Linked DNA regions of Astyanax mexicanus. The protein of the gene in region 1 interacts with the protein of each later gene in a pairwise test. Links are inferred from orthologs where the notes say so. Each region holds a gene or a part of one and is shown on either strand. Other genes may lie near its edges.

What was found. The genes of interacting proteins can lie anywhere in the genome.
Region 2: the proteins of c8h1orf35 (region 1) and srrm4 interact in binary tests that used the Homo sapiens proteins (3 or more experiments, as listed by UniProt). The link is inferred for Astyanax mexicanus from reciprocal best matches to the Homo sapiens genes C1orf35 and SRRM4.

The regions. Positions count from the first base shown.
Region 1 is NC_064415.1:653,421-664,778, reverse strand, and holds the start of c8h1orf35 (multiple myeloma tumor-associated protein 2), read right to left. Parts: upstream 4,574-11,358; 5' UTR 4,443-4,573; coding exon 4,346-4,442; intron 3,934-4,345; coding exon of another isoform or gene 3,909-3,933; exon of another isoform or gene 3,784-3,908; intron 2,340-3,783; coding exon 2,192-2,339; intron 952-2,191; coding exon 906-951; intron 824-905; coding exon 744-823; intron 142-743; coding exon 69-141; intron 1-68. Other genes in the region: guk1a (guanylate kinase), read left to right, coding at 8,171-8,204.
Region 2 is NC_064429.1:38,526,165-38,536,898, forward strand, and holds the start of srrm4 (serine/arginine repetitive matrix protein 4), read left to right. Parts: upstream 1-5,990; 5' UTR 5,991-6,242; coding exon 6,243-6,382; intron 6,383-10,734. UniProt on the Homo sapiens protein: Splicing factor specifically required for neural cell differentiation.

The DNA.
Region 1 (11,358 bases):
CAGCAACAACTTAGCAACCCCTGATGAAGGACTAGAGGAGTATAGAGAGTATAGTAAGTGTTACTCACTGTGAACACAGGCAGACCCATCTTTACTGCCTCTTTCTCCTGCTTCGACAGAACCATCCCTCTGGACCCCGCACTGTAACACACACACACACACACACACACACACACACACACCTGATTAGTGCCAGTTTCATCTTCATAACAAATTCCGGTTGACTAATAGTCATTTCTTCTCAAAGTATTTTTTTTATCTTTATTTAGTTGAGTAGTTGTTTCTTCTCATAATCTGGATTCGAACATCACTCAAATATTCACTATTCACTGTATACCTGTAACTCTACCTCTTCACTACTTTACTTTAACTGATGCTCTCAAACACTTTATTAAGAGACAAGAAATTCAAGTAATTAACTCTTGATGAGTTCAGCACAGCTGTTAACTGAAAGCCTGAATTCCAGGAGACTCTACCTCATAAAACTGACTGAGAAAATCCAGCAGAGATGTTCAAAACTGATCATCTAAACAAGAGGAGATAGATTTAGTAAATCATTCTATATATTGTTCTTCATAGTTTGGATGAGTTTAGTATTAATCTACAGTGCAAAACATGTTAATATAATGAAAACACTGAATTTAAGGTGTTTAAACTTTGGACTGGTACTGTAGAAACTTAGAAAAGTACTGATATATAGTTATATATTTAGTTATATATTCTATAGTGTTAATTCTGTTTACCTGGAGCTTCCCAGTCCAGAGACTCGGTCCACACTGCGCTCCTCAGCGTCTCCGTCCCTCCGGCAGACCTCCGCCAGATCCTGCAGAACCACAACCAGAATCAGAACCACTGAGCCCAGAGCGTATACAGTATACGACAGCAGAGTTTATATAAACACAAACCTCTTTAGTGACTCCGGCCGGCCGTCTCTGCACTGTTTTATGACCCCTAAACACAAACACACACAAATAACACTCAGACAATACATACTGCAGGATATATACACCATGAAATATATACTTACAGCCCTTTAATAATAATTATTAATAAATTATACTGTTTAATAAATATATATTATACGTTTTGATAAAACACCTCCCTAAATATCTCAATACAGATACTGAAACGATACCACGTCAACCACCTTAAACATCAGAAATAAATAAAATAATAGAAGATCTGATGTGAAACTAAAAAAAAAATTAAATAAAAGAAACAAAAAAGCAGAAAAGTTTAATAATGTGATTATGTTTATTCATAATTTCAAGGAGGAAAATAATATGTTTATGGAATTTATTTTATAATCACTTAATCTTTGTATTTGCAACCAGATCTCACAGATTAATGTTTTTAATAATACTCAATATTCAACACTCGTTTGGGGCAAAGGTTTGGATTCATACTGATCATTTTTCTGTGGTTCAATTGACTCAATCTTTAAAAAAAAAAAAAAAAAAAACGAGAAAAACTTATAATAAAATAAAAAAATAAAAAAAAAAACTAAATATGTTAGTACAGATTCTATAACAATACCACAGCAAAACCTAAAACCTAAAGAAAAGCTACAAAATGATGTTTAAATATTTGTCGATTACTGTGGTTTGATTCATTTAATAATAAGTCATTTAAAAGCAAAAACACATTAAAACGTTCAAAATCTGCTGATATTATCGTAATTATCATGTGAGCCATTTTTGTACGCTTTAAGGCTTTGAGGAACTTTTACACGATAAGTGATCGTGGAAGATGAGTGAATCGGTTCAGGAATCGAAAGCAGATTGGAATCAATGATTCAGAACATTGTTTATGAGCCCATGTGTTTATATGAGGCTCTGATCTGGTGTAAATCTAAACTCAGCCGTAGGGAAACTCAGAGACGACACAGAGCTCTCCTCAGACACTGGATTATACTACAGAACTGAAAACTAAAGAGAAATAAAGCAGGAAACCAGCTACAGTGGATTAATCACAGATCCTCACCTGAGAAAATGTTCATTTTACTCAAATATAAACCTATAAATAGTAAAATCAGAGAAAGTGATACAGAAACTGAAGAAGTGCTCTCTTCATTTATTACAGAGCTGTATGTTGAACATATTAGTGTATGTGTGTGTGTGTGTGTGTTAATAATCAGACTGATGAGAGTAATTAGTCTGATCTCTGATGGAGGTGTGGGTGAGGGACGTACAGCGCTGCCATCATGGCCTCTCTCTCCGCCTCTCGCACGGCCGCCAGCTCCTGCTCTCGCGACACTCTCTCTCCCTGCTTATCTTTCGCGTACCAGGTCAGGTCCCGCCCCTTCTGCCAGCGGCCAACCGGGGCCATGAGGGAGTTCCCTACAATAACAACAACAACAAACACACACACCAGCGTCAAAACAGCAAAATATAAACAAAACAAGAAACTAAATATTTTATATAATAATATGAATATATAAACAAACTGTACAATTACTTACTATCTAAAATTTTACATTATTATCTGTAGTTTTAAAAAAATCACACCATTTTTAACGTAATTACATTGGATCAGGATCAATATGTGTTTACATTCAGCATTAAAAAACTCTTAGAATTAATCAGTATTCAGATAGTCAGACTGATGTAATGTTCTTTAGGATTAGGATTAGGCCAGTACTCAGTATTTTAGCACGAGGATGAATATCTGTATGGGGAAATACAGTATTTACCTTAATCAAAAATTGCAAAAACAAGACCTTAAAACCACCTGAATCCGTTTTCCAAAGGTCTTAAAGGATGCAGACAAGGAGAAACACACTATGAAGTGGTTTTTGGTTGCAGTGAAACATGATAATGAGTACAAACGTATGTCAAATAGCCCACCTCCATTCTCCCCTCAGCATTCCCAAATACAGCACTTTTAGCCGATGCTGCCAACAGCTTTACAACGCTATTAAGATTCTACCAATGAAGTGTGGAGATACTTAAAGCTTGATAACAGTGCAAAAATAGCCATTTCTTTGCATGATAACTCTATGCCCCCATTACTAGCATTGTGAGACTGTTGGGAGCATCAGCTAAGAGTGCTGTATTTGGGAATTCTTGGGGAAAACGGAGGTTGGCTATTCCACAAAAGTCCTTTAATGTCTGTGGCATTTTAAGACATTTTAAGGTCTTGTTTTTAGATAAATGAATGTAATGGTTTGTAAGGATCTGCAGATACCCTGTATACTGTTAATATCAAAATTGGAATTATATTGTATTGATCAAAATACAGACAAAGATCTGGAGATGCTGGACAACTTAATGATGTAATTGATGGAAGCAGGAATTCTGCTGTTTATCAGAAAATCCTGAAGGAGAATCAGAATCCTCCATCTGTTCCTTAGTGATCCTCAAGCTCAGGAGTACTTGGATTCTGCAGCAGGACAATGACCCAAAGCACACAAACAACAGGTTCACTGTCTCTGAATGGGTTAAAAACTAAATGAAGGTTTTGGAGGGTCTAGTTAAAGTCTAATTGATTGAGATGCTGTGGATGATCTTAAACAGGACTTTTATGCTGGAAAATTTTCCAATGTGTCTGAATTAAAACTGTAATTCTGTAAAGAAGAGTGGAACTAAAACTAAAGCTAAAGAGTCAGGGTGGTCTGGGTCATTTTTTCCCTTAATAAATGAAATTATAATTTAAAAAGTGCTTTTTATATTTACTCAGGTTATTTTTTACCTGATATTAAATGTGTTTGTTAATCTGATAATGTAAGCATGATTAAAGAGTATGGTGCCCCCTGCTCCCCCCTCCCCTCAGGGATCTGCTGTTAGATCAGCAGAGCTGGATAGAAGTTAAAAGTCCGGAGAGGAGGAGCAGCACAGCTCCACCAAACCTGAACCAGAACCTGAACCAGAACCACCAGAACCAGAACCGAACCGGAACCGGGCTGTGGAATGAGAGAGAAGCCCGGGGGAGCAGGTAAACTCCGGATTATTACAGATTAAACTGGATTATTATATTAAAACTCCACACTTTCACTTTCTGACAGAGACAGCAGGAGTCTCCTACATCCGGGACTTTCACCACTTTATCAACACTGTTCACTTATTAAACTATAAAATAAGTTTTAATATTAATTTTACGAATTTTAAAGCTTTTAAACTTTAATCTTAGATTAATCTGCTCTAACTGGAGCTCAGTGAGTTGATGGCTATGCTAAAATAGGCTAGGCTAGGCTATGCTAGGCTAGCTAACATGCAACATGCTGTACCAGCAGCTGCTACAGTGTGCAGAACTATGCTAAGCTAAAATAAGCTAAAGCTAGGCTAGCCCATGCTAAGCTAAACTAAAGCTAAAGCCAGGTTATGTTAGCCGTTAGCCGGGTCCTCACCCAGGTAGTTCTCCCGGTGTTTATCCGCTTTAACATCGTCCCAGTTGAACTGGTCCTGTCCGCCGCGCACTCCTCCGGACCGGGACGAGCCGAACATGCTGGTTCTGGAGAGTTCTGCCGGGTTCGGTTCGGGTTTAGCCCGCTAGCGCTCCGGATCCGGACCGTGTGTCCGCGGAGCTGCACTTCACACAGCCGCCGCTAGCTGGAGCCGCAGCGCTTTACATCCGGGTACTCTGAGGGAGCGAGGGAACAAGGGGGCAACGAAGTGCGCACTTCCCTCCAATCCACACTTACTTACTTATTTACTTACTTATTTATTTACTTATTTATTTTAAACTTAAAGTTTTAAACTGAATTCATAATATTTTGTAAGCAAGGCTGCACCACTTAGACTCACTATATTAGGCAATGTCTATCATTTATATATATATATATATATATATATATATATATATATATATATATATATATATATATATATATTATTATTATAAGTAAGTAACATAAATTATAAAAAGAAACATATAACAGGAAGGTTAAGGTCATGTATATTTATTGTACAATAAATCAATTTATTATCGCGACAGGCTATACTGTTTATAAATTTAAATATATTAATAAACAAATAGGCATGTTATGATGATTATCGGCTTATCGTACAATAAAGGTTCATGACCTCAGTAATGGTGATAACTGCAGAAATGAATGTTTTATTTTTTAATTTTCAATATATAGAATCTCAGTAGTATGGAAGCCCATTCCCGCCACCTAAAAAATAAAAATACTCCAGCATTTTTTTTTTATTATTATTAAGTAAATTGCTATCTCAATATTTTGAGATACTAAGTCAATATTTTGAGATACTATCTCAATATTTTGAGATACTAAGTCAATATTTTGAGATACTATCTCAATATTTTGAGATACTAAGTCAATATTTTGAGATACTAAGTCAATATTTTGAGATACTAAGTCAATATTTTGAGATACTATCTCAATATTTTGAGATACTAAGTCAATATTTTGAGATACTAAGTCAATATTTTGAGATACTATCTCAATATTTTGAGATACTAAGTCAATATTTTGAGATAGTATCTCAATATTTTGAGATACTAAGTCAATATTTTGAGATACTAAGTCAATATTTTGAGATACTATCTCAATATTTTGAGATACTATCTCAATATTTTGAGATACTAAGTCAATATTTTGAGATAGTATCTCAATATTTTGAGATACTAAGTCAATATTTTGAGATACTAAGTCAATATTTTGAGATACTATCTCAATATTTTGAGATACTAAGTCAATATTTTGAGATAGTATCTCAATATTTTGAGATACTAAGTCAATATTTTGAGATACTAAGTCAATATTTTGAGATAGCAAGTGTGTTTGCTTTTGTAAAGAAAAAAAAAAAACGTTTTTTTTCCTCCAGTGAAGCCTACCTACCATATATAACATACAGCATAGTCGGAGCCACAGCCACACTCTTTAACACGCTAAAATAGTCCAGTGTGTTATTAAATGAATCTCAGCAACCAGTCACATCTGAATCGGATCTCCGTCTGCATACATGTGAGTTTGGTGGCAATTTTAGCACAGTATTTGTGCTGGGTCATGGGCATTAAAAAGCACGATTGTATGGAAGCCCATTCCCGCCACCTAAAAAATAAAAATACTCCAGCAATTTTTTTTTATTATTATTAAGTAAATTGCTATCTCAATATTTTGAGATACTAAGTCAATATTTTGAGATACTATCTCAATATTTTGAGATACTAAGTCAATATTTTGAGATACTAAGTCAATATTTTGAGATACTAAGTCAATATTTTGAGATACTAAGTCAATATTTTGAGATACTATCTCAATATTTTGAGATACTAAGTCAATATTTTGAGATAGTATCTCAATATTTTGAGATACTAAGTCAATATTTTGAGATACTAAGTCAATATTTTGAGATACTATCTCAATATTTTGAGATACTAAGTCAATATTTTGAGATAGTATCTCAATATTTTGAGATACTAAGTCAATATTTTGAGATACTAAGTCAATATTTTGAGATACTAAGTCAATATTTTGAGATAGCAAGTGTGTTTGCTTTTGTAAAGAAAAAAAAAAAACGTTTTTTTTCCTCCAGTGAAGCCTACCTACCATATATAACATACAGCATAGTCGGAGCCACAGCCACACTCTTTAACACGCTAAAATAGTCCAGTGTGTTATTAAATGAATCTCAGCAACCAGTCACATCTGAATCGGATCTCCGTCTGCATACATGTGAGTTTGGTGGCAATTTTAGCACAGTATTTGTGCTGGGTCATGGGCATTAAAAAGCACGATTGTATGGAAGCCCATTCCCGCCACCTAAAAAATAAAAATACTCCAGCAATTTTTTTTTATTATTATTAAGTAAATTGCTATCTCAATATTTTGAGATACTAAGTCAATATTTTGAGATACTATCTCAATATTTTGAGATACTAAGTCAATATTTTGAGATACTAAGTCAATATTTTGAGATACTAAGTCAATATTTTGAGATACTATCTCAATATTTTGAGATACTAAGTCAATATTTTGAGATACTAAGTCAATATTTTGAGATACTAAGTCAATATTTTGAGATACCTTAAATGCTGGCTGAATATACATGCGGCCACCTGTAGATAATGACCTGGGAATTAGGCCAAAAGTGAGAGCAATAACGTTTTAATTCATATTTAATTTTATTTACATTATATTTCACTCAGAGTTAAACTCTGTCCCTCGCATTGTGTTCTCCCCTTTATTCAGAGCGTTTTCACAGCACTTTGCTTACATGCTGTTTTTTACTGTTAAAATGCGACATCTACAGGCGGCCGCATGTATGTTCAGCCAGTATTTAAGGTGGAACGGAAATCTGAATAAGACACTGGCGAATAAGAAGCTAACTTCAGCCTCGTCCAAGATCCGGAGGCTTATTTTGATATTGTGTGATTCCTCTAAAAGTTCCAATATTTCATGATTTGTGAATCCACGTCTGAAGTAGTCCTCAATGATGGTATCCATTTTGCATCTTTGTCTCACCTGCTTCTGTCTCTGTACAGCCTAGTATCTCAAAATATTGAGATAGTATCTCAAAATATTGACTTAGTATCTCAAAATATTGAGATACTATCTCAAAATATTGAGATAGTATCTCAAAATATTGACTTAGTATCTCAAAATATTGACTTAGTATCTCAAAATATTGACTTAGTATCTCAAAATATTGAGATAGTATCTCAAAATATTGAGATAGTATCTCAAAATATTGAGATAGTATCTCAAAATATTGACTTAGTATCTCAAAATATTGACTTAGTATCTCAAAATATTGACTTAGTATCTCAAAATATTGACTTAGTATCTCAAAATATTGAGATAGTATCTCAAAATATTGAGATAGCAGTTTACTTAATAATAATAAAAAAACATTTTGCTGGATTATTTATTTTTTTTAGGTGGCGGGAATGGGCTTCCATAGAGTAGATGTGACAGTGATTTACAGAATTTTCCTTAACTTCCTTTCCTTAGATAAAGCGCGCTTCAGTTTTGCACACTACTTAGGTGCCCTACTTAGACCCCGAGTGCGTGTGATGGAGCGCGCCCGGGCTGAGTGGGCGGGTTTAGCTATGCGGGGTATTGTTCGGAGGGTGCGGGGCGGTGCGGGAGGCGCGCGGCGGCTGCGGGGAGTTACACACGCTTCCGGGCCGGTGACGTCGGTAATGGCGCTCGCGGAGGAGAGCGAGCGGTAGAGAGAGGAGCTCGCGCTGCTGCTGGAGGAGCCTGATGTTCCTCAGAACCCTCTGCAGAACCTTCTCAGGTCAGAACCTCATCAGAACCTCATCTAAAGGGAGGAAGGGTAGTTCTCCCACTCTTCCGCAGGGCTTTTAAATGGGGGTAGTTTAACTACACTGAGGAGGTATTTTAAATCTATATACATATGATGACGTTACGTTTATATTTATACACACCGTGGAGCTCCCTTACTATTAGTGCTCATTCCACCTTAAATCATTCCACCTTAACAGTTTCATTCAAAATACCGGGGTATCACCAGTTGGCAGTATATAGTCTCAAGGTCTGTTTGTATGTAGTGTTGAGGTCTGTGTGTATACAATCTTGTGTATATAGTCTTAAGGTCTGTGTGTATATAGTGTTGATGTCTGTGCACATGTAATCTTGAGGTCTTTGTGTATAAAATCTTGTATATAGTGTTGAGGTTAGTGTATATAATCTTGAGGTCTGTGTGTATATATTGTTGAAGTTAGTGTATATATTTGTGAGGTTTTTGTGTATATAGTTTTGTGGTTGGTGTATATAATCTTATAAATAGTCATGAGGTTAGTGTATATACTGTTTAGGTTTGTGTATATAGTGTTGAGGTCTGTGTGTATATAGTCTTATATAATATTGACGTTCGTGTATATAGTCTTGTATATAGTGTTGAGGTCTGTAGACCTGAAGTTGATGCATATAATGTTGAGGTTAGTGTATATAGTCTTGTAAGTTTTCTTGAGGTCAGTGTATATAGTGTTGTTGTAAGTAGTCTTTAGGTCAGTGTATAGCCTTGTGGCTGCAGTGTATATGAGATATAGTCTCATGGCTTAGTTACTGTGTATATTATCATTAGTATATGTCAGTGTATAGTCTTGTGTTTGTAGTGTATAGCCTGTGGTCTCAGTTCTAGTCTCATGGCTTGATTGTATATAGTTTTGATGTATATTTGGGTTATATACAGGTAGACACTCTGACTGATCACTGATAGTATATTTGTGTTTATGTGTATAATTGTGTGTATAGCTTCGTACGTACGGTTTATCTGAAGTGTAAAGTGCTGGATTTGGTCTTTGTGTCGCAGTTCAGGGTTAATTACAGTGTAATTACTGAGAGTAGTGTGGAGCTGCAGTGTGCTGTAAATTACACTAATCTAATAGTGAACTAACTCATCTCACATGCAGCCTCACCAGACCCCTTATTACACCCACCCGCTACTGATTACTGCTGTATACTCACCACATCCTGCCTATCACTAATATTACACTTATACACCACATCCTGCCTATCACTAATATTACACTTATACACCACTTCCTGCCTATCACTAATATTACACTTATACACCACATTCTGCCTATCACTAATATTACACTTATACACCACTTCCTGCCTATCACTAATATTACACTTATACACCACATCCTGCCTATCACTAATATTACACTTATACACCACATCCTGCCTATCACTAATATTACACTTATACACCACATCCTGCCTATCACTAATATTACACTTATACACCACATCCTGCCTATCACTAATATTACACTTATACACCACATCCTGCCTATCACTAATATTACACTTATACACCACTTCCTGCCTATCACTAATATTACACTAACCCACCACATCCTGCCTATCACTAATATTACACTTATACACCACTTCCTGCCTATCACTAATATTACACTAACCCACCACATCCTACCTATCACTAATATTACACTTATACACCACATTCTGCCTATCACTAATATTACACTAACCCACCACATCCTGCCTATCACTAATATTACACTTATACACCACATCCTACCTATCACTAATATTACACTTATACACCACATCCTGCCTATCACTAATATTACACTTATACACCACATCCTACCTATCACTAATATTACACTTATACACCACATCCTGCCTATCACTAATATTACACTTATACACCACTTCCTGCCTATCACTAATATTACACTAACCCACCACATCCTGCCTATCACTAATATTACACTTATACACCACATCCTGCCTATCACTAATATTACACTTATACACCACTTCCTGCCTATCACTAATATTACACTAACCCACCACATCCTACCTATCACTAATATTACACTTATACACCACATTCTGCCTATCACTAATATTACACTAACCCACCACATCCTGCCTATCACTAATATTACACTTATACACCACATCCTACCTATCACTAATATTACACTTATACACCACATTCTGCCTATCACTAATATTACACTTATACACCACTTCCTGCCTATCACTAATATTACACTTATACACCACTTCCTGCCTATCACTAATATTACACTTATACACCACATCCTGCCTATCACTAATATTACTGTTATGTGTGAAAATATTCTGTTTATTTCTTAAAATACTGAATAATCTACATGTAATTTACTCTATATAACATTAGAATAATTGAGTATCTGCATATATGCTGTTCATATACATATGCCTGCTGACTGTGCTGCTCTGATTGGCTGTTTGATGTTGATTGAGCGTGTACTCAGTGATATAATTAGAGTATAATTAGAGTATTGATCGATGTGATTGATTAATTAGTATCTGTGGGCTGGTTCTGGGTGTTCTAAAGCTCTATAACAGTAGTAAATATGTGATAGTGTCTGAGCTCTGGTTCTATTTATATAGCGCGGTTCTGAGCTCTGGTTCTGAGTTCTGAGCTCTGGTTCTGAGTTCTGAGCTCTGGTTCTGAGCTCTGGTTCTGAGTTCTGAGCTCTGGTTCTGAGCTCTGGTTCTGAGCTCTGAGCTCTGGTTCTGAGCTCTGGTTCTGAGCGCCGGTTCTGAGTTCTGAGCTCTGGTTCTATTTATATAGCGCGGTTCTGAGCTCTGGTTCTGAGTTCTGAGCTCTGGTTCTGAGCTCTGGTTCTGAGCTCTGGTTCTGAGTTCTGAGCTCTGGTTCTGAGCTCTGGTTCTGAGCTCTGAGCTCTGGTTCTGAGCTCTGGTTCTGAGCTCTGGTTCTGAGTTCTGAGCTCTGGTTCTGAGCTCTGGTTCTGAGCTCTGGTTCTGAGTTTTGAGCTCTGGTTCTGAGCTCTGGTTCTGAGCTCTGAGCTCTGGTTCTGAGCTCTGGTTCTGAGTTCTGAGCTCTGGTTCTGAGCTCTGGTTCTGAGCTCTGAGCTCTGGTTCTGAGCTCTGGT
Region 2 (10,734 bases), on another chromosome or scaffold:
AGGAGTGTCTGGATTTGCTGGCTGTTAATTGCGTGAATATATTTTTCAGCACTGTCCTGAGTCCATCTGGGAGGTAGTTTAAATTTGAAAAGTTTGCAGGGATTTTGCCAATTATCATTCCCAACTGGTTTGTTTAGATATACAGTAATTTGGCTGTGATCAGAGAGAGGTGTCAGTGGCTTGACTGTGAAGGCTCTCAGGAAGGTTGTGTCCAGATCTGTTATTATATAATCTACAACACTGTTGCCAAGAGCTGAGCAGTGTGTGAACTTACCGAAGGAGTCCCCTCGCATTCGTCCATTCACAATGTACAGGCCCAGGCTTCGACAGAGCTGCAGTAGGTTTCTTCCATGTGAATTTACTGATTTATCGCAGTTTTCTCTGGGGGAGTGAGTACCAAAATGTATATCATCTCCTGTAATGAAATGATCTCCTTTTGTGCTGATAAAGTCAGGTTGCTCTCCTGTTCGAGCGTTTAAGTCCCCACAGATCATTACATGGCCTTGAGTTTGGAAATGACTAATTTCGCTTTCTAAATTTTGGAAGGTTTCTTCTTTAAAATAGGGGGATTCTGCTGGGGGGATGTATATTGCACAAATAAATAAATTTTGGGGGGTTGAAATTGCCTGTTTGTTAAGTTTTATCCACAAATAATCTTCTCCTTTTTTTACTATTTCTATAGAATTTGTTAGTTCTGATTTAAACCAAATAAGCATTCCCCCCGAGTCCCTACCCTGAGAAACGCCTGTTAACTTGGTGGAAGGAATAACCAATTCTCTGTGGTCTGGAGGACAACCAGTGGGACCGTCTCCTTTACACCATGTCTCCTGCAGTACCAAAATATCAATATCCTTAATTTCATTTATAAATTCAGGGTTTCTGCTTTTTAAATTAAAAAGAGAAGAGTTCAAACCCTGAATGTTCCAAACTGAAATTTGAAATGATGCCATTCTTAATGAAATAAAAGGTATGCTATTCTAATCATAGACCATGTCCCATCAGACGTGTGCAGATGTGACTGAGCATCTGCTGTATGTCTCTGAGTTCGGACACATTAGCGCTTGCTGTTCCTCTGACGACCTGAGCGTAGGTCAGGGGTCCAGGCCTGGTCTGGAGCTGCTGGGTAGTTGATGGTGGGACTGGTGCATGGGGGGAACCTGTGGTGTGTGCTGGTGCTGTTGTATGTGCAGGAACAGGGTTCCTCTGGATTCTCCTCTGCATGCCTGGCTGTGGTGGGTGATGGTAGGTGTGGTGCTGAGGTGTCTGATGGGGGGCTTGTGATGCTCCTCCTCCAGGTCTTGGGGTGTGTTGTGATGACCGTGTTCTCTTGAGGTTTTGTTCAGCAGTGTACTGGATAGCCCTGCGGGTCAGTGCAATGTCCTTCAGCGTTTTTGCAAATGTAGGCACTACATTTTTAAAAAGGTGGACGTGATCATAGAGGCAGGTGGTATCCAGAGTCGGGTGATGGGCCAGGTGGGTGTTTGGCCGGAGAGCACATTCCCTGGAGATGCTGGCGTTGATTTTCTGGATGGTGTAAGGGTGAAAATCTTTGCGAGGCAGCAGTGTTGAGATGATAATTTTTGAATTAGAGAAGGTGTTGTTGGCCTTCTCGATTACTGCTCTCAGGGAGGTGGCCACTCTCTCTTGCTGACTCCGGAGGTCGTTTGTCCCGGTGTGGATTATAATGTGGGTCGGTGACCCTAGTTTTTCTTCTGTGAGGAGCTCCAGTGCTTTTTTAGTGGTTGGGCACCAGAGTTTTACCACTCTGTGTTTGGGAAATAGTTTTTTCTCATTAATGAATTTCCCGTTGGAATCGATTAACAGAGCAATGTCACATTGCCCTGGATTTCCCTCCTCTCTCTCAGTTTCCTGGATGTTGGACTCCACATGTGCTTGCTGACTGGGTGGAGTCTGCTGAGAACTGGTGACTGGAGCAAGTGAAGGCTGTTGAGAGTCGATGGTTGGAGCAAGTGGAGGTGGTTGAGAGTTGGTGGAGGTTGAGGGTGAGGGCTGAAGTTGGGTGGTTTGAGCTGATGGAGGGCTCTGATGTTGACTGAAGGAGAGCAGCTGTTGTGTCAGACTCTGTACTGTGCTGTCTCTCTGCTTTAGCTCCTCTCTCAATGCAGACATCTCCTTTCTGTAGGTGTGTCTGTCCTCCTCTATGATCATTTTTAGATCTTTAACTTGTTCTCTCAGTGCTGTCAACTCTTTTTCGGAGCTGTCCTTGTCCAGCTTTGGTTGATTGTAAGACTGCTGCTTTAGGACCATCTCTCTGAGTTGTACTAACTCGATTTCTAAGCGTGTAAAGTGCTCTTTCATTGAGGTGATGGAGGTGTAAAGTGAAGTCTGCTGGTTCTGTTCTGTGTCCTCCTGCTCCTGAGCTGGGGGCTCTGGGGGGTCTGTTGTAGTGTTCTGTAGATCTGCCTTGTCTTCCTGCAGTGTGTTTACAGTGAACTTTTCTTTCTTTGCAATTTCTTTAAGATTATTAAAAGAGTCCTGGAACACACTGGGGTTTCCCTGCACCATGACAGTACCATTTTTATAAATGTTCACTGTGGCCATAATTGTCTCTGTGTCTGTTGGGTCCTTTATTTTTATTTTCCACCCATTACAGATCCCTTCTTTTTTCACAGAGGAGTAGTGACTTAGCAGAGCTTTATGCCATGAGCTGGGGTGTTCTGAATAAAAGATAAGATTGCTGACTTCCCCAGTCTTATAAAAATCAGCAAACAGAGTTTCAGGATTCTCCTTTAGCAGATTCTGTTTAAACTGTTTCCTGGCCGTTTCACTTTTCAGTTCAGGAGGGTAAATGACAGGGCAGTACTGTACTGGGCCACAGAGTTGATCCACATCCTCCACAGGGCAGAGAGGGACAGGGGACAGTTCTGATTGGCTCATCCTGGACACCTTATATGGGTAACTGATGGCTCGGAATGTTGAGGGGTTTTGATTGTCAACCCTCCAACTGTCACTTTAGCTTTAGCATTTAGCTCATATTCATAGCTAAAACGCTTAAATATAGTATTTCTTCCTCTTATTTTCAATGTTTTTAGTGAAAATGTCACTCACAGTACTGCAGATGCTGTTTGTTGAAAGTTCTGATAGAGATGTATGTTCCTCTCAGTTTCTCCCTCCTGTAGTGATCTCTCTCTCTCCCTGCTCTGCTTTGCCTGAAGGTGAAGTCTCTTCTTGTTTTGATTCAATATCTTTCAAATATCTTATTGAATTTCTTGATTTCTGTCCTAAATATTTTACTTTTTACTTGAATTTACGTTATCCAAGTATTATTACAGATTTTCTTAATGTTTCTCTCACTTTAAAACAAAAAAAAAGAGAAAAATCTGGGAGCTCACACAGATATGACTTATCCTTAGAACCTCTATACCTCTCTCTCTCTCTCTCTCTCTGTGTTTAGGAGTGAAGCTCTCTCTCACTCACTCTCTATCTCTCTCTCTCTCTCTCTCACTCTATCTCTCTCTCTCACTCTCTCACTCTATCTCTCTCTCTCTCTCTCTCTCTCTCACTCTATCTCTCTCTCTCACTCTCTCACTCTATCTCTCTCTCTCTCTCTCTCACTCTATCTCTCTCTCTCACTCTCTCACTCTATCTCTCTCTCTCTCTCTCTCTCTCTCACTCTATCTCTCTCTCTCACTCTCTCACTCTATCTCTCTCTCTCTCTCTCTCTCTCTCTCACTCACTCTCTATCTCTCTCTCTCACTCTCTCTCTCTCTCTCTCTCTCACTCTATCTCTCTCTCTCACTCTCTCTCTCTCTCTCTCTCTCACTCTATCTCTCTCTCTCACTCTCTCACTCTATCTCTCTCTCTCTCTCTCTCTCTCTCTCTCTCTCTCTCACTCACTCTCTATCTCTCTCTCTCACTCTCTCTCTCTATCTCTCTCTCTCACTCTCTCTCTCTATCTCTCTCTCTCACTCACTCTCTATCTCTCTCTCTCACTCTCTCTCTCTATCTCTCTCTCTCTCTCTCTCTCTCTCACTCACTCTCTATCTCTCTCACTCTCTCTCTCTCTCTATCTCTCTCTCTCACTCACTCTCTATCTCTCTCACTCTCTCTCTCTCTCTATCTCTCTCTCTCTCTCTCTCTCTCTCACTCACTCTCTATCTCTCTCTCTCACTCTCTCTCTCTATCTCTCTCTCTCTCTCTCTCTCACTCACTCTCTATCTCTCTCTCTCACTCTCTCTCTCTATCTCTCTCTCTCACTCAAATTCAAATTCAAATTCAAATTGGCTTTATTAGCATGACTGTTTTAAAAAAAAACAATGTTGCCAAAGCACACAAATATCACAACCGAACCTATAGTGAAACAACGATGAAACATAAACATCAATTAATTAAAGAAAGAATAATAATAATAATAATAATAATAATAATAAAAATAATAATAAAAAAATCACAATAATAATAATAACAACAATGATGATAATAGTAAAAACAACAATAATAATAACAATAGTAATAATAAAAAAATTATAGTGATTATAATGATCAAGTATAATAATATTAACAGTTGTTTATTAGGGGAGGTAGTTATTAGGGGAGTTACTAACAACTCTCTCACTCTCTCTCTCTATCTCTCTCTCTCACTCTCTCACTCTCTCTCTCTCTCTCTCTCTCTCTCTCTTCCTTTACAAAATACAGGATTTTAGTTCCGACAAGATAGGTGTTCCTAATGATCTGGCAATTAAGTAAAAGCACAAGGTGATAGGTGTTCCTAATAAAGTGGCAAATAAATGGAAACTCAAATTGGTAGGTGTTTCTAATTAACTGGATTAACTGGCCAGTGGTGGGACTAGGAGGTTGTTTTGGTGTTTCTAATAAAGTGGCAAATAAGTGGAAATAAGTGTTACGTGTTCCTAATGATCTAATAAGTAGTGAGACCAGATGGTACTTCATTGTTTCTATTAAACTGGCCAGAGATAATAAGCAGAAGGTGGTAGTAGGTGTTCCTAATGATCTGGCTAGTTGTTGAACTAGGAGGTACTTGGGTGTTTCTAATAAAGTGGCCAGTGAGGGGAGGGGGTAGTGGCAGGTGGTTTGGGGGGGGGGGGGGGGGTGGTGCAAAGGATCTAAGAGAGATACACAATAGAAAAAGGTCAGTGTGTGTGTGTGTGTAGAGTGTGTGTGTGCGCAGGTGCAGTTGGGGGGGGGGGGGGGTATTGTGGGTAATGTTCCGTCTGCTGCCCCCCCTCAGCTCTATTGTTATGCTGATTAAGGGAAGAGGATAAGAAAGAGAGAGATAAACTACAACAAAGAGTTTTAGAAAAAAGCACTTTAAATAAAGAATAATCACTGTAATGTGTTATATTATATTTTATATTATATTATATATTATTTCCGAATTTAAAGATAAACGGACTAATAGAAATGTTCAGAAATTAATTGGTCGGAATTAAATCTTCCTACATTTGCTTCCATTAAAAGATAAGAAGTTTTTTTGTTCTCCTGAAAAACTTATTCTAAATAAAATAATAAGAGTAAAGAATATCACAGTTTGCCAGACACATGTAAACAATAAACGGGCTGTGTCCCAATCCCCCACCTGCTCACTATATAGTGCACATGTGCTGTTCTGCCTGTGTGTAGTGATGTAGTGAGTAAACTGGGTTTAGATACTCACTGATGTAGAGACCTGGAGTCTGAGGAGAAACGAACAGAGAGAGAGAGAGAGAGAGAGAGAGAGAGAGAGAGAGAGAGAGAGAGAGAGAGAGAGAGAGAGAACTATACAAAGAGAGATATACAAATAGAAAGAGAGAGACAGAGAGATATACTGAGAGAGACACTGTGTGTATTTGTGTTTATGTGTGTGTGTGTGTGTGTGTGTGTGTGTGTGTGTGTATAATGTGTGTATAGTGTGTGTGTGTGTATAAAAAAGTGTGTGTGTGTGTGTGTGTGTGTGTCTGACCCCACCTCCTTTTCTACGTCACTGGCTGCTCCTGACAAAACCAGCCTCCATCAGCTGGACCCCCCCACACACACACACACTCTCCCGCGCGCGCACTGCCCGCAACAGCTTACACAGCACGCGCGCTCACACTATCTCTCTCTCTCACACACACACACACAATACACACACACACACACAGAGTCGCGCGCGCTCAGTAGGAGCAGCAGTAGGAGGCACGTGCTGCTGGGCTTCAGCACCGGGACAGCTCCCGTGCGCGCGCTCTAGTCCCCCGTGCTCCGGTCCGCCGTTGCCCCCTGCGCGCGGGCGCGGGGCTGTTGCCATGGCCACCGTGCTGCAGGGTCAGAAGCAGCTCCTGGAGAAGTTTTGGAGAGGCGCGTGCAGAGCCGTAACCACGCCCCGCCCGGAGAGCGTCATCATCGCCAGCATCGCCGCGCGCAGAGCGCTCAGCAGCAGCAGCGCGTGAGTTCAGCACCTCTCACCTTACCTACAACCTGCGCGCGCGCGCGCGAGTGTGTGTGTGTGTGTGTGTATTTCGTGATGATCGCTACCGGCTGCGTCTGGTTCCAATTGTCTTTGTGAAAAACGCTCAGCAACATGCGTTCTTTAGGTTCCATGGGGCATGGCAAAAATCATGGGACCCCATACTATTCCCTGTCCCAATACTTTTGCCATTTCACACACAATGGTATTGTTGGACTACAGTGTTTTGGACTGGACCGGTACCAGGTTCTGATATTGAACAAACATTTATACCATTTCATCCTAATATACCCTTAATACACCATAAACAGCTCTATAAAAAGTGAAAAGATCACTTCAGTTTCTGAATCAGTTTCTCTGATTTAGCTATTTATAGGTTTATGTTTGAGTAAAATGAACATTGTTGTTTTATTCTATAAACTACAGACAACATTTCTCCCAAATTACAAATAAAAATATTCTCATTTAGAGCATTTATTTACAGAAAATGAGAAATGACTGAAATAACAAAAAAGATGCAGAACTTTCAGACCTCAAATAATGCAAAGAAAACAAGTTCATATTCATAAAGTTTTACGTTTTTCTCTCTCTTTTAAGTTTTAAGAGTTCAGAAATAATCAATATTTGGTGGAATAATCCTGGTTTTTAATCACAGTTTTTTCATGCATCTTGGCATCATGTTCTTCTCCACCAGTCTTACACACTGCTTTTGGATAACTTTATGCTGCTTTACTCCTGGTGTAAAAATTCAAGCAGTTCAGTTTGGTTTGATGAGCTGTACATGGCCAAAAGTATTAAGACTCCTGCTGCTCCAGCTTCCCAATACTTGTATGTTGGATGATGTTGGATGATGCTGGATGATGCTGGATGATGCTGGATAATGTTGGATGATGTTGGATGATGTTGGATGATGCTGGATGATGTTGGATGGTGCTGGATGATGTTTTGGATGATGTTGGATGATGCTGGATAATGTTGGATGATGTTGGATGATGTTGGATGATGCTGGATGATGTTGGATGGTGCTGGATGATGTTGGATGATGTTGGATGATGCTGGATGATGTTGGATGGTGCTGGATGATGTTTTGGATGATGTTGGATGATGCTGGATAATGTTGGATGATGTTGGATGATGCTGGATGATGTTGGATGATGCTGGGTGATGTTGGATGATGCTGGATGGTGCTGGATGATGTTTTGGATGATGTTGGATGATGCTGGATAATGTTGGATGATGTTGGATGGTGCTGGATGATGTTTTGGATGATGTTGGATGATGCTGGATAATGTTGGATGATGTTGGATGATGTTGGATGATGCTGGATGATGTTGGATGGTGCTGGATGATGTTGGATGATGTTGGATGATGCTGGATGATGTTGGATGGTGCTGGATGATGTTTTGGATGATGTTGGATGATGCTGGATGATGTTGGATGGTGCTGGATGATGTTTTGGATGATGTTGGATGATGCTGGATAATGTTGGATGATGTTGGATGATGCTGGATGATGTTGGATGATGCTGGGTGATGTTGGATGATGCTGGATGGTGCTGGATGATGTTTTGGATGATGTTGGATGATGCTGGATAATGTTGGATGATGTTGGATGATGCTGGATGATGTTGGATGATGTTGGATGATGTTGGATGATGCTGGGTGATGTTGGATGATGCTGGATGGTGCTGGATGATGTTTTGGATGATGTTGGATGATGTTGGATGATGCTGGGTGATGTTGGATGATGTTGGATGATGCTGGATGATGTTGGATGGTGCTGGATGATGTTTTGGATGATGTTGGATTATGTTGGATGATGCTGGATGATGCTGGATGATGTTGAATGATGATGGATGATGCTGGATAATGTTGGATGATGCTGGATGATGTTTTGGATTATGTTGGATGATGCTGGATAATGTTGGATGATGTTGGATGATGTTGGATGATGCTGGATGATGTTGGATGGTGCTGGATGATGTTGGATGATGTTGGATGATGTTGGATGATGTTGGATGATGCTGGATGATGTTGGATGGTGCTGGATGATGTTTTGGATGATGTTGGATGATGCTGGATAATGTTGGATGATGCTGGATGATGTTGGATGATGCTGGATGATGTTGGATGGTGCTGGATGATGTTTTGGATGATGTTGGATGATGCTGGATGATGTTGGATGGTGCTGGATGATGTTTTGGATGATGTTGGATGATGCTGGATAATGTTGGATGATGTTGGATGATGCTGGATGATGTTGGATGATGTTGGATGATGTTGGATGATGCTGGATGGTGCTGGATGATGTTTTGGATGATGTTGGATGATGCTGGATAATGTTGGATGATGTTGGATGATGTTGGATGATGCTGGATGATGTTGGATGATGTTGGATGATGTTGGATGATGCTGGATGATGTTGGATGATGCTGGATGATGTTGGATGGTGCTGGATGATGTTTTGGATGATGGTGGATGATGCTGGATGATGTTGGATGGTGCTGGATGATGTTTTGGATGATGTTGGATGATGCTGGATAATGTTGGATAATGTTGGATGATGCTGGATGATGTTGGATGATGTTGGATGATGTTGGATGATGTTGGATGATGCTGGATGGTGCTGGATGATGTTTTGGATGATGTTGGATGATGCTGGATAATGTTGGATGATGTTGGATGATGCTGGATGATGTTGGATGATGTTGGATGATGCTGGATGATGTTGGATGATGTTGGATGATGTTGGATGATGTTGGATGGTGCTGGATGATGTTTTGGATGATGTTGGATGATGCTGGATAATGTTGGATGATGTTGGATGATGCTGGATGATGTTGGATGATGTTGGATGATGTTGGATGATGCTGGATGGTGCTGGATGATGTTTTGGATGATGTTGGATGATGCTGGATAATGTTGGATGATGTTGGATGATGTTGGATGATGCTGGATGATGTTGGATGATGTTGGATGATGTTGGATGATGCTGGATGATGTTGGATGATGCTGGATGATGTTGGATGGTGCTGGATGATGTTTTGGATGATGGTGGATGATGCTGGATGATGTTGGATGGTGCTGGATGATGTTTTGGATGATGTTGGATGATGCTGGATAATGTTGGATAATGTTGGATGATGCTGGATGATGTTGGATGATGTTGGATGATGTTGGATGATGTTGGATGATGCTGGATGGTGCTGGATGATGTTTTGGATGATGTTGGATGATGCTGGATAATGTTGGATGATGTTGGATGATGCTGGATGATGTTGGATGATGTTGGATGATGCTGGATGATGTTGGATGATGTTGGATGATGTTGGATGATGTTGGATGATGTTGGATGGTGCTGGATGATGTTTTGGATGATGTTGGATGATGCTGGATAATGTTGGATGATGTTGGATGATGCTGGATGATGTTGGATGATGTTGGATGATGTTGGATGATGCTGGATGGTGCTGGATGATGTTTTGGATGATGTTGGATGATGCTGGATAATGTTGGATGATGTTGGATGATGTTGGATGATGCTGGATGATGTTGGATGATGTTGGATGATGTTGGATGATGCTGGATGATGTTGGATGATGCTGGATGATGTTGGATGGTGCTGGATGATGTTTTGGATGATGTTGGATGATGCTGGATGATGTTGGATGGTGCTGGATGATGTTTTGGATGATGTTGGATGATGCTGGATAATGTTGGATGATGTTGGATGATGCTGGATGATGTTGGATGATGTTGGATGATGTTGGATGATGTTGGATGATGCTGGATGGTGCTGGATGATGTTTTGGATGATGTTGGATGATGCTGGATAATGTTGGATGATGTTGGATGATGTTGGATGATGCTGGATGATGTTGGATGATGTTGGATGATGTTGGATGATGCTGGATGATGTTGGATGATGCTGGATGATGTTGGATGATGCTGGATGATGTTGGATGGTGCTGGATGATGTTTTGGATGATGTTGGATGATGCTGGATGATGTTGGATGGTGCTGGATGATGTTTTGGATGATGTTGGATGATGCTGGATAATGTTGGATGATGTTGGATGATGCTGGATGATGTTGGATGATGTTGGATGATGTTGGATGATGCTGGGTGATGTTGGATGATGCTGGATGGTGCTGGATGATGTTTTGGATGATGTTGGATGATGCTGGATAATGTTGGATGATGTTGGATGATGCTGGATGATGTTGGATGATGTTGGATGATGTTGGATGATGCTGGGTGATGTTGGATGATGCTGGATGGTGCTGGATGATGTTTTGGATGATGTTGGATGATGCTGGATTATGTTGGAT